Linked DNA regions of Coturnix japonica. The protein of the gene in region 3 interacts with the protein of the main gene of each other region in a pairwise test. Links are inferred from orthologs where the notes say so. Each region holds a gene or a part of one and is shown on either strand. Other genes may lie near its edges.

Region 1 (3,646 bases), on a different chromosome or scaffold from region 3:
AAATAAGAAAGTAGTCATTACAGTTCATGGTATAGTCTCATTTCAGTGTCCAAAAATTATTAATGTGTTGGAAAACACTCTTCTTGAAAAATGCTGCACAGCATTGTTCATGCGTGGCTTTTTCATTTACAGACAAAGGGTTCATTCATCTAGAGCCTCAGTTTAGCCCTTTGGAAGCTGTCAATCTACATGAAGTCAAAAATTTTGTCGTCGATGTGCAGGCGTACCCCGCTCCAAAAATGTACTGGTTGAAGGATAATGTGACTCTGATTGAAAACCTTACTGAGATTGTTACTAGTTCAAACAGAGTCCAGGAAACACGGTAAAAATACTCTTATGAATCTTACTTTGCCACGATGACTCAAGTGTTTCTCCCCTAGAAACCTGAGAACTTCTGCTTTCTCTTTCCACTGCAGTTCTTCCTCAATAACATTTAAAAATCCTATGTTTTCTGCTCTAAAGGGTGATGCCTTAATAACATTAACATCTCTAAACCATACAAATCTTGGATTCTAGGTACTAACCCTCTTCAGTCCCTCCAAGAAATCTTCTCTCTAATTATCTTTAGCTATTTCTAGAAACATCGCAGTCTTCGTTGGAGCCAAGCAGGATATAATAATGCCCACTTCTTTCTTGGTTGTGTTTTGGTGACTATTTACTGTTTGAACAATGATTTTAGTGCGAAGGCATGCCAGAAATGCTGAGTGTCAGCACATTATAATATCCGTGTGTCCAGATTATATGTTGCATTGAAGTAGATTTTTTATGCCTGCTTTCAACATACAAACAAAATGTAAAAATACAAAAATATAAACCAAAACTCTCATTTCTGCAGGTTTCAAAGTGTACTAAAATTGATCCGGGCCAAGGAAGAAGACAGTGGGTACTATACTTTGGTTGCTGAAAATGAAGATGAGGTTAAGAGATACACCTTCTCCTTGCTAATACAAGGTAATGGCTTCAAAAGCCTTCCTTACCAGAACTGATGGGCCACAGCATGAATTTGATCCACTTATGTATGGGTCAACAATGAATACTGGATTGCCTGGGCTATAGAGATAAGAGAAGTGTGAACTGGGGTGTCTGGAGCAGTGCATGTCTGCTGAGTCCTCGTAGCTCTCATACTGTAATCCTGGCTTTGACTTCTGCACTGGCCTTGTGCCAGAAAGAAACTTTATCCTCCTGTCTAAGTTATTCCAGCTGACAGCGGGAACGATAACTCATTTAGCATGACATGAGGACGTGGCATACACGCAGCACTTTCTTTTCATCGCTCTAGCTTGTGATACCCTGTGTTCTTCAGCAGACAGGGACCTCCTGGCCAAGTGGCTCTAGATGCCACTAAGCTGTCAGACAAACAGTACCTGCCCTGCTTTGTTTGAGATTTCAGGCTGCTCTTTTAGACCCTGTTGAACGTTTTAACAAATTCTTGACTCCTTTCCAGTTCCAGCCTTGATCTTAGACCTTGTGGATGACCACCAGGGCTCCACTGGCAGGCAGACAGTGAGGTGCTTGGCTGAAGGGACCCCGCTTCCTGATGTGGAATGGTTGGTTTGCAAGGACATTAAAAAGTAAGAAGAAGAGGAACTTTGTTATCTAAAACATGACTCCGTTGTTCTTGGCTAGCTTAACATTATTAGTTATCATACCGTGTTTTCTTCATCAAGAGCCAGTAAGCCATAATTCTGATGTCTTTTTGGAGACACACTGCTTATATTTTGAGAGGTTTTCAGTACCCTTCCTAGTGTTAATGTCCTATAGAAGAATACACAATGCATCCATTTAACTTTGATAAAAGTTCTGTGTTCAATAATTGAATGTAGTAGATCTTAAAGTTAACTGTCTTTCCATTCTGAGGACTCCTGCTACTTCACAGGTAGCCCTGTTGCCTCATTAATACTCTTGTGTGCTTCTAAATTTTCACTTGGACAGTTTCTCCCCAGATTATAATTTTCACCTTCTAAGACTTCTAGACACATGTAGTAATCATTCCTGGTTTTGCTAGTTCTAGACTGTTTTCTTCTGTAGCTGCTGGGAACTGCTGAGCTCTCCCTGGGAATCTGTAAGGATTCAAGGAAAAGGAGACTAAAGGAATCTGTAAGGATCCAAGGAAAAGGAGACTAAACATGAAGGGAGGCTAGGAGCCCTGGGACCTCCCAGCTGTGCTCCACTCCCACTGCACTAAAATCTCCTCCTGCCACCTGGGACAGTTGTCCTCTTAGCCCTGCCCCAGGAAGCCTTGTATGGCATGAAGGATTCAGGCAGAAGTAGAGATCCACTGCTATAACTCTACAGGATATGAATGATGCAGGCTTTTCACAGAGGTGGTCTTAAGCATTTCTTTAAAAATATAATTGACAGAAGAAAGGCATAGGAAAAGATGATTCCCACTGTGGTGACTTTTTATCTACACCTACATCCAACATGTATTTCCACTGTCACTCTCTGCAGATGCAGCAATGACACTTCCTGGACTCTTCTGACTAGCAACGTCTCTGATATACACATGGAAGCCCACTTGGATGAGAAGAATATGGTGGAAAGCCAGGTGACCTTCCAGAAGGTAGAGGAAACCCTGGCTGTCAGATGTGTAGCAAGAAACGACCTTGGCGCTGTTACTCGGGAACTGAAACTTGTGGCTCCCAGTGAGTTTGCTTTGTCCTTCTATGAGATTACAGAAGCCATCTTAACCTCTCGTTAACATACCTCATTTTAGTCTATAAGAAAGCTTAGTAGATAAAAACATAATCTGCAGCAAATAAGAATAAATGAAAATGGATTTTATCCACCAAGGAACAACTGAGAATGAAGCATTTTACAGGTCTTTATGGGGTATCTGATTTGTTTTATCATTTCATTATGATTGGTCATGGGATGTTCTTCTAAACAAAGTAGACAGTGTAGCTCTGGTCTCAGAGAGGCTTTACAGTTACCAACTGTCACGAGTTACTTAGATTTACCTATGCCCGTGACAGGGGAAGCCACCCTGTGCCCCCCCCCCCTCCCCCCCCGGCGCCCAGAAAGGAGGGGGAAAAGGGGAATGGGATAAAAAACAGTTGGCAATCTAAGGAGGAAAAACTATTTTACTAAGTATGATATCGAAATACAACATAACACATATAATATAATTGCAGGCTAACGAATCGAACGAAACAGAGAGAGAGAGAGTCCCGAAAAACTGAGAGGCCTACTAATGAACTCTAGGCGTACACGCTCTGGAACGCTTCCCACTTCTCCGAGAAGTTCGAGAGAAGAAGGGCACTCCAGCCTCGGGAACAAGATTATATAGCGTCCTGGTTCCGTGACTTATCATTACCCCTGTTGTTCTCTGGGATTATGTTAGGACTTCTTCTGTGCCGGACTGCACATTCAATAGAGTATGCCATGCTTACATGATGTTATGATGTGGAATACTGATAGCAAATACAAAACCATGGGACATTCCACCCCTTTCTAACATTAGTACGATCATGGGTAGATATATATACAATATATGCCACGTATGTAAAACTATGATAGCCTAAATAGTAGAAATTGCATGTACATAACAAATGTACAACTATAATAACTAAATACACGTAACACTGCAACATATAATCTAATATAGATACATAAAATTATTAGACTTGCACTCCCCCAGCATGCA
Region 2 (3,681 bases), on a different chromosome or scaffold from region 3:
GCCGCCCCCGGCGAGGCCGCCCGCGGCGCCGCGTAACCCGAGCGCCGCCCTACAAAGTGCCCGCGCCCTCGGCACAGCGCGGCGGGGCGAGAGTCGGGGCCGCCATGGGGCCGCGGCGCTGAGCGGAGCCCGCCCGGCCCCGCAGGACTTTGCCCGGGCCCTCCCCGACGAGGCCGGTGCGGGGCCGGAGCAGCCGGAGCAGCCGCGCCGTCGGGGCTCCGCGCAGCCGGCGCTGCCCGACGGTCGCGGGGCGCCGCAGCTCCTGGCCGCGGTGCCGCTTCCCACGGGAGGCCCGGAAGATGCTGCCGCTCTGGCTCGTCCTGGCGGGGCTGCTGCTGGCGGTCGGCCCGGCCGCTTCGCACCGCGGGGAGATGGAGCCAGGTACGGACGGGACGGCTGGGGGGGTGAAGGCGGCTCCGGTGCTGGTTTTTCCCGGCCCCGCTTCTCGTGCTTTCGAGCATCGGCAGCCCGGCTGCGGGCTGGGCTGGGTGCTGCGGGCGGTGCCGGTGCGGTGCGGTGGGGCGCACGCGGTGCTGACAGCTGCGGGGCTCGGGGCGCGGCGGCGGCGCGTGGAACACGCGGACAGGGCGGGGGCTGCGGGTCCCGGAGCGGCCGAACCGTCGCTGCTTTGGTTTGTCCCAGCGGTGGTTTTGCTCCGAGCGGCTCTTGAGTTTAGTACAGAGCTGAATATTTGCTTTGGAGCCGCTTTACCAGCGTGGGCCGGGTCCGCGGGGAGCCGGAGGTGGTGGTGGAACTTTGACGCTGATCGCTCCCGGTTCCTTCCCGTCCCAGTACGGCAGAATGGGCGCAGACCCCTCTGGAAGGACCGTGGCGTGGGTGGCCTTGGCCGGGAACGCGGCAGTGCCAGGCGGTCGCGGGGGAAGCCTTGTCCCAGCGCCCGGGGGCAGAGTCCAGCCCTTGTACACGCGTCTCTGGCCAGGACGTGTGTGTGTGTGTGTGTGTGTGTGTGTGTGTGTGTGTGTGTGTGCGCTGTGCACGCCGAGAAGCGCGGTGGGTTCCTGCTGTCCGGGGCGCTGTGCGCGGCGCTCAGCGCGTCTCTCCCGGGCTGCAGAGCTGATTGAGAGCCCGCTGCTGGAGTCGGAGGAGCAGCAGCTCCTGTTGGAGCCGGGCAATGCTCTGAAGCTGCACTGCAACGCTAACCGCAGCGGTGCCACTGTGGTCTGGTACAAGGAGTCGCGGCCGCTGCTCCCGGGGCCCCGCGTCCGCCTCCAGCCGGGCACAGTGCAGATCTCTGAGGTCGCCTACGAGGACTCGGGGCTGTGTGTGTGTCGGGCGCGGGGCACCGGGGAAGTCCTGCACAACTTCACCATCTCTGTAGTGGGTGAGGGCCCGGAGCAGCACTGAGGGGAGCACAGCCTGATTTACCCCATCCTGAAGACAGGGGCACCCCTCGTGACCCGCTTTCCTTTGCAGACTCGCTGGCATCGGGTGATGACGATGAAGACAGTGATGGGGATGGTCCCCACGGAGACCGCAGCGAGGAGCCGGTCTATGTGCACAGAGGTGAGTGCTGTCATGGGGGGAGCGACTGGGGGCAGCCCCCACCCGAGGCCATAAGCCACATCCCACGATGCCCCCCGTCTCTCCCCAGCACCGTACTGGACTCACCCTCACCGCATGGACAAGAAGCTGTATGCTGTCCCTGCGGGGAACACCGTCAAGTTCCGCTGCCCGGCCTCGGGCAGCCCCAGCCCCAGCATCCGCTGGTTCAAGAATGGACGTGAGTTCCGGGGGGAGCACCGCATCGGGGGCATACGGGTAAGGGCCCCCCCCCATGTCATCCTCTCCTCCTGGTGTCTGGCTCAGCTGCAGCCCCCTGAACCTGTTGCTCCCCGTCGCAGCTCCGGCACCAGCACTGGAGCCTGGTGATGGAGAGCGTGGTGCCCTCGGACCGTGGCAACTACACCTGTCTGGTGGAGAACAGGTTCGGCAGCATCCGCTACAGCTACCTGCTGGATGTGCTGGGTGAGGGTCCGCAGGTGGTGCCAGGGGGGTCCCTGCTGCCACTGTGCTGGCGAGAGGGGATGGGCTGCAGGGGATGAAGGCAGAGGAGCCCATCCTCATCTGCTCTGCTTGAGCAGCCCTCGTGTCCCAGCACCTGAGGGAGGTAGGGCTGGGACCCCCCTGGGTACTGTGTGTGACTTTGCCCCTATGCCCTGTGTGCAGAGAGGTCCCCGCACCGGCCCATCCTGCAGGCGGGGCTGCCTGCCAACACCACTGCCCTGGTGGGCAGCGACGTGGAGTTCTTCTGCAAGGTGTACAGCGATGCCCAGCCCCATATCCAGTGGCTGAAGCACATTGAGGTGAACGGCAGCAGCTATGGCCCTGACGGGGTGCCCTACGTGCAAGTGCTCAAGGTAGCAGCTGGGGGGTGGCAGGGTCACATGGAGCTTGTCCCCACACAGGGATGCTCACGGTCCCTCGTTCTGCCCACAGACCGCAGATATCAACAGCTCCGAGGTGGAGGTGCTGTACCTGCGCAATGTCACCATGGAGGACGCAGGCGAGTACACCTGCCTGGCAGGGAACTCCATCGGCCTCTCCTACCAGTCAGCGTGGCTCACTGTGCTCCCAGGTAGGGCTGAGGTTAGAGCTGGGGTTAGGGCTGAAAGCAGCATGGGGACCGTGGTGTGGACTGACGTGTGCTCTCCTTCTAGAAGAAGAGCTGGTGCATGAAGCTGAGACCTCCGAGGCCAAGTACACCGACATCATCATCTACACGTCGGGCTCGCTGGCTGTGGCCATGGCCCTCATCATCGTGGTGCTGTGCCGCATGCAGACACAGTCGAGCAAGCAGCCCCTGGAGCCCATGGCAGTGCACAAGCTCTCCAAATTCCCACTCATCCGACAGGTGAGGGCTGAGCTGGGGGCACCTTGGTGACAACTGGCCCTGCTGCTGCCACCTGTCCCTGTTGCTTGTCCTTGGGGCTGCCCTCACCCCATTGCTCTCAGCAGCACCAGGTCTCAGTGTGACTCCCAGGTGTCTGAGGGCTGCTGTGCTGTCCCCGCAGTTCTCCCTGGACTCCAGCTCATCAGGGAAGTCCAGCACGTCGCTGATGCGTGTCACCCGCCTCTCCTCCAGCTGTGCCCCCATGCTGGCGGGCGTCGTGGAGATGGACCTGCCCCTGGATTCCAAGTGGGAATTCCCTCGAGAAAAGTAAGGAGCTGGAGAGGGCTGGCAGTGCCGGGGCACTGTGCCCCATGGGCTTGGAGCAGGGTCAGCCCCACTGTGTGCTCACAGCTCTGCCTCCCCTGGCAGGTTGGTGCTGGGGAAGCCCCTGGGCGAGGGCTGCTTTGGGCAGGTGGTGCGGGCGGAGGCGTACGGCATCGACAGGCAGTGGCCGGACCGAGCTGTCACCGTGGCTGTCAAAATGCTCAAAGGTATCAGTCGTGCTGTGGCGTCCTGGGCATGGCTGCTGCATTGGTGCCACCCCAGCATCAGTGACACGGCCCTCTGTCAACAGACAACGCCACTGACAAAGACCTGGCTGACCTCATCTCCGAGATGGAGATGATGAAGCTGATGGACAAGCACAAGAACATCATCAATTTGCTAGGAGTGTGCACGCAGGACGGTGAGGGGCTCAGGGGCAGGGGGGTGCTGGGGTGGATGGGGCAGGGCTGAGTGCTGTGTGTCTTCCCTAGGGCCCCTCTATGTGA
Region 3 (3,646 bases):
GACCCCATCCCCACATCCCCTGTCACCTCCCGTCCTGCAGCCAGGTGACATCCATCATTGCTGGTGTGGTGGGGGCTCTGCTGGTCGTCGTCCTTCTGCTCATCACCGTCGTCTGCGTCAAGCGCCGGCGGCAGCAGGAGAGGAAACACACCATGAGGCGGCTGCTGCAGGAGACTGAGGTGGGGGGGCTGGATGACCCTGGGGGGGGCTCAGAGTGTTGTCCCTCCTCACCCACTTGTCCCTCGCAGCTGGTGGAGCCGCTGACGCCCAGCGGGGCCCTCCCCAACCAAGCACAGATGCGCATCCTCAAGGAGACGGAGCTGAAGAAAGTGAAGGTTTTGGGCTCCGGCGCTTTCGGCACTGTCTATAAGGTGAGGGGTGGGAGGCACAGTCAGTGGGATGGCACCATCTGTGTCCTCACTCACCGCCCCCCCACCCCCCATAGGGCATCTGGATCCCCGATGGGGAGAGCGTGAAGATCCCGGTGGCCATCAAGGTGTTGCGGGAGAACACATCACCCAAAGCCAACAAGGAGATCCTGGATGTGAGTGCAGGGGAGGTGGGCACGGGGCTGGGGAGTCGGTGCCAACCTGACCTATCTGTGCTGCCTGCAGGAAGCCTATGTGATGGCCGGGGTGGGCAGCCCCTACGTGTCGAGGCTGCTGGGCATCTGCCTGACCTCCACGGTGCAGCTGGTGACGCAGCTGATGCCCTACGGCTGCTTGTTGGACTATGTGAGGGAGAACAAAGACCGCATCGGATCCCAGGACCTGCTCAACTGGTGTGTGCAGATCGCCAAGGTAAGAGAGGGGGCTGCTGAGGGGCTGTGGGGGGGATGTAGATGTGGGGCTTAACGCCTGCTGCCCAGGGGATGAGCTACCTGGAGGAGGTGAGGCTGGTGCACCGTGACCTGGCTGCTCGCAACGTCCTGGTCAAGAGCCCCAACCATGTCAAAATCACCGACTTCGGGCTGGCACGGCTGCTGGATATCGATGAGACCGAGTACCACGCAGATGGGGGCAAGGTGGGACATGGGGACGGGGCAACAGGGAGCGCGGTGTCCCCTGAGGGTCCCGCTCACTCCTCCCACCCACCCAGGTCCCCATCAAGTGGATGGCGTTGGAGTCCATCCTGCGCCGGCGCTTCACCCACCAGAGCGATGTCTGGAGCTACGGTGCGTCCCTATGGTGGCTGTGGGGGGCAGGGGGTCCCAAACCAGCACTTACCCCACATCCCCATGTCCTCAGGTGTCACCGTGTGGGAGCTGATGACCTTCGGGGCGAAACCTTACGATGGGATCCCGGCACGAGAGATCCCCGACCTGCTGGAGAAAGGCGAGCGGCTGCCGCAGCCGCCCATCTGTACCATCGATGTCTATATGATCATGGTGAAATGTGAGTGGGGGGGACATGGGGACGTGGGGGCCAGGACCCCAACGCCGCCCTCACGGTGCTCGGCTCTGCCCCAGGCTGGATGATCGACTCCGAGTGCCGGCCCAAGTTCCGTGAGCTGGTCACCGAGTTCTCCCGCATGGCCCGCGACCCCCAGCGCTTTGTGGTCATCCAGGTAATGGGGTCTCAGGGGGGTCTCGCCTTCAGCATTGCCCCAACGGGCACTGACAGCCCCCCCTGACCCCCAGAACGACATGATCGGGCTGCCCAGCAACATGGACAGCACCTTCTACCGGGCGCTGCTGGAGGAGGAGGACATGGACGACCTGGTGGATGCTGAGGAATACCTGGTCCCTCACCAGGGCTTCTTCAGTGCTGAGACCTCCACCGCGTACCGCAGCCGTATCTCCTCCACGCGGGTAAGGGCTGACCTGGGGCATCGTGCTGCTGCAGGGCGCACAGGGTGCAAGTTCTCTAATGCCACCCACAGACCCTATAGACCCCACAGCACCGTGCCCGACTCCGTGCCCTTTGCCTCCTCAGAGCACAGCAGAGACCCCAGCTGACACGACAGAGGGGGAGGAATCAGCCGCCTTCCCCTTCCCACCGCAGAACCTGGTGGAGGGGTCAGAGTGCCCCGTGTCGGAGGCTCTGGAGGTGGATGTTGGGGCCAAGGGAGCCCTGCCGAGCCCCCCAGCCACACGGTACAGTGAGGACCCCACCGCGCTGCCGGGGGATGAGAGTGAAGGTCTGGACCCTGAGGGCTTCACCACCCCAGCCCCACATACCACTATGCCAGGTAGGGCAATATAGGACCCTGGGGAGGGGGGCAAGGACCCTGTTTGGCTGCTGACATCCCTTTTCCCTGCAGAGTACGTGAATCAGGCTGGGGAGCTGCCGTCACCCCCCCGGCTCCCCTGTGCACCACCATCCCCACCAGACAAGCCCAAGGGCCACCAAGGCAAGAACGGGCTCATCAAGGACACCAAGCATCCCTTCCTGGGGCCCTTTGGCCACGCCGTGGAGAACCCCGAGTACCTGGCCCCCCCGGGGCTGCCGGTCCCCACAGCCTTCAGCCAGGCCTTCGACAACCCCTACTACTGGAACCAGGACCCCCCCAAAGCTGGGAGCCCTGAGGGTGGGCCCAGCTCCACGCCAGCAGCTGAGAACCCGGAGTACCTGGGTTTGGCTGAGCCTGAGGACGTGGCTGTGTAGGGCAGGGCCACATACGGACCCCCCCCTTTCACCGAGGCAGCTTGGGGAGGGACGGCACGAGGCCGGCGATGGATGTGGGGGCAGGACTGTCCCCAATCATGGGGGTGCCCTATACTGCAGGAGAGCATAGAGCACTGTGAGACGGCGCAGCAGCACAGGGGGGGGCACAGAGGACCCCCAAAAGGAGCCCCAAAGCCCCACTGAGATGGATGCTCCAACCCCACACGGTTCCTGGAGGAAGAAGAGCAGCATCAACAGGACCGGGAGCCCCATCACCCTGCTCCCCATCACCATACACCTATATACACCTGTATACACCCTGGATACACCTGGACCACGCTGCTGCTGTCCCAGAGCCCCCCACCACCCCTGTGCCCCCAGCCCCCTCCCCACCGGCGCCCAGCAGCGCTGGACACATTGACTTGCACTGAGCAGGTGGACACGGGGCTGCCTGGGCTCCTGCTGGGTTCCCGTTAAGCTGACAGTGTCACCTGGATGTATATTTCATCATTGTAGATGGTTTTTTTTCTACTCCACTTTGTCTGCGTGGTTTGCTCCCATCTCCTCCATCTGCTGCTCTCACTGCAGGGAAAGCCCTGATAGCCAAGAATGGGGCAGCTGCCCTAATCCTGCTTTCATTGCCTGGATCCCCCCCATGCTCTGCAGGGACACAGGGGAAGAGGAGCCACGTTTACCTCCATCCTTTATTCAGCGCTGGGCCCACAGACAGTACATCATAAATAGGGGATGGGCACCAATAGGGGATGGGCACCATTCTGCCACGCTGCCCTGGGCTCAGCTGCCCCAAGGGCAGAGTCATGATGTGGGGAGGGGGAGAGCCGGGAGCCTGGGAACGGGGCAGCAGGGGAAGCTCGTGGCTGTTCAATGAACCCTGGGGCTGTGGGGATGGAGCCAAGCAGGGGTTCCTATAACCAGCCAGTCCCTGCTGCCCTCGTAGCTGTTTAAACAGTGACCAGAGGAGCTGGAATCATTAACAAACCACACTCGAGTTCACGTTCCTCTGCATAAACCTTTGGGAG

The links.
Region 1: the proteins of ERBB2 (region 3) and PDGFRA interact in a protein complementation assay, tested with the Homo sapiens proteins (2 studies listed by BioGRID, with this or other methods). The link is inferred for Coturnix japonica from reciprocal best matches to the Homo sapiens genes ERBB2 and PDGFRA.
Region 2: the proteins of ERBB2 (region 3) and FGFR4 interact in a protein complementation assay, tested with the Homo sapiens proteins (2 studies listed by BioGRID, with this or other methods). The link is inferred for Coturnix japonica from reciprocal best matches to the Homo sapiens genes ERBB2 and FGFR4.

Annotation. Positions count from the first base shown.
Region 1 is NC_029519.1:59,024,598-59,028,243, reverse strand, and holds part of PDGFRA (platelet-derived growth factor receptor alpha), read left to right. Parts: coding exon 1-29; intron 30-132; coding exon 133-322; intron 323-835; coding exon 836-951; intron 952-1,444; coding exon 1,445-1,571; intron 1,572-2,451; coding exon 2,452-2,645; intron 2,646-3,646. UniProt on the Homo sapiens protein: Tyrosine-protein kinase that acts as a cell-surface receptor for PDGFA, PDGFB and PDGFC and plays an essential role in the regulation of embryonic development, cell proliferation, survival and chemotaxis.
Region 2 is NC_029528.1:12,077,097-12,080,777, reverse strand, and holds the start of FGFR4 (fibroblast growth factor receptor 4), read left to right. Parts: upstream 1-786; 5' UTR 787-801; coding exon 802-1,342; intron 1,343-1,434; coding exon 1,435-1,524; intron 1,525-1,612; coding exon 1,613-1,779; intron 1,780-1,862; coding exon 1,863-1,986; intron 1,987-2,187; coding exon 2,188-2,378; intron 2,379-2,457; coding exon 2,458-2,596; intron 2,597-2,678; coding exon 2,679-2,872; intron 2,873-3,032; coding exon 3,033-3,178; intron 3,179-3,280; coding exon 3,281-3,402; intron 3,403-3,485; coding exon 3,486-3,596; intron 3,597-3,666; coding exon 3,667-3,681. UniProt on the Homo sapiens protein: Tyrosine-protein kinase that acts as a cell-surface receptor for fibroblast growth factors and plays a role in the regulation of cell proliferation, differentiation and migration, and in regulation of lipid metabolism, bile acid biosynthesis, glucose uptake, vitamin D metabolism and phosphate homeostasis.
Region 3 is NC_029542.1:3,928,545-3,932,190, forward strand, and holds the end of ERBB2 (receptor tyrosine-protein kinase erbB-2), read left to right. Parts: intron 1-40; coding exon 41-179; intron 180-248; coding exon 249-371; intron 372-445; coding exon 446-544; intron 545-614; coding exon 615-800; intron 801-868; coding exon 869-1,024; intron 1,025-1,098; coding exon 1,099-1,174; intron 1,175-1,247; coding exon 1,248-1,394; intron 1,395-1,468; coding exon 1,469-1,566; intron 1,567-1,639; coding exon 1,640-1,810; intron 1,811-1,934; coding exon 1,935-2,190; intron 2,191-2,262; coding exon 2,263-2,606; 3' UTR 2,607-3,142; downstream 3,143-3,646. UniProt on the Homo sapiens protein: Protein tyrosine kinase that is part of several cell surface receptor complexes, but that apparently needs a coreceptor for ligand binding. Essential component of a neuregulin-receptor complex, although neuregulins do not interact with it alone.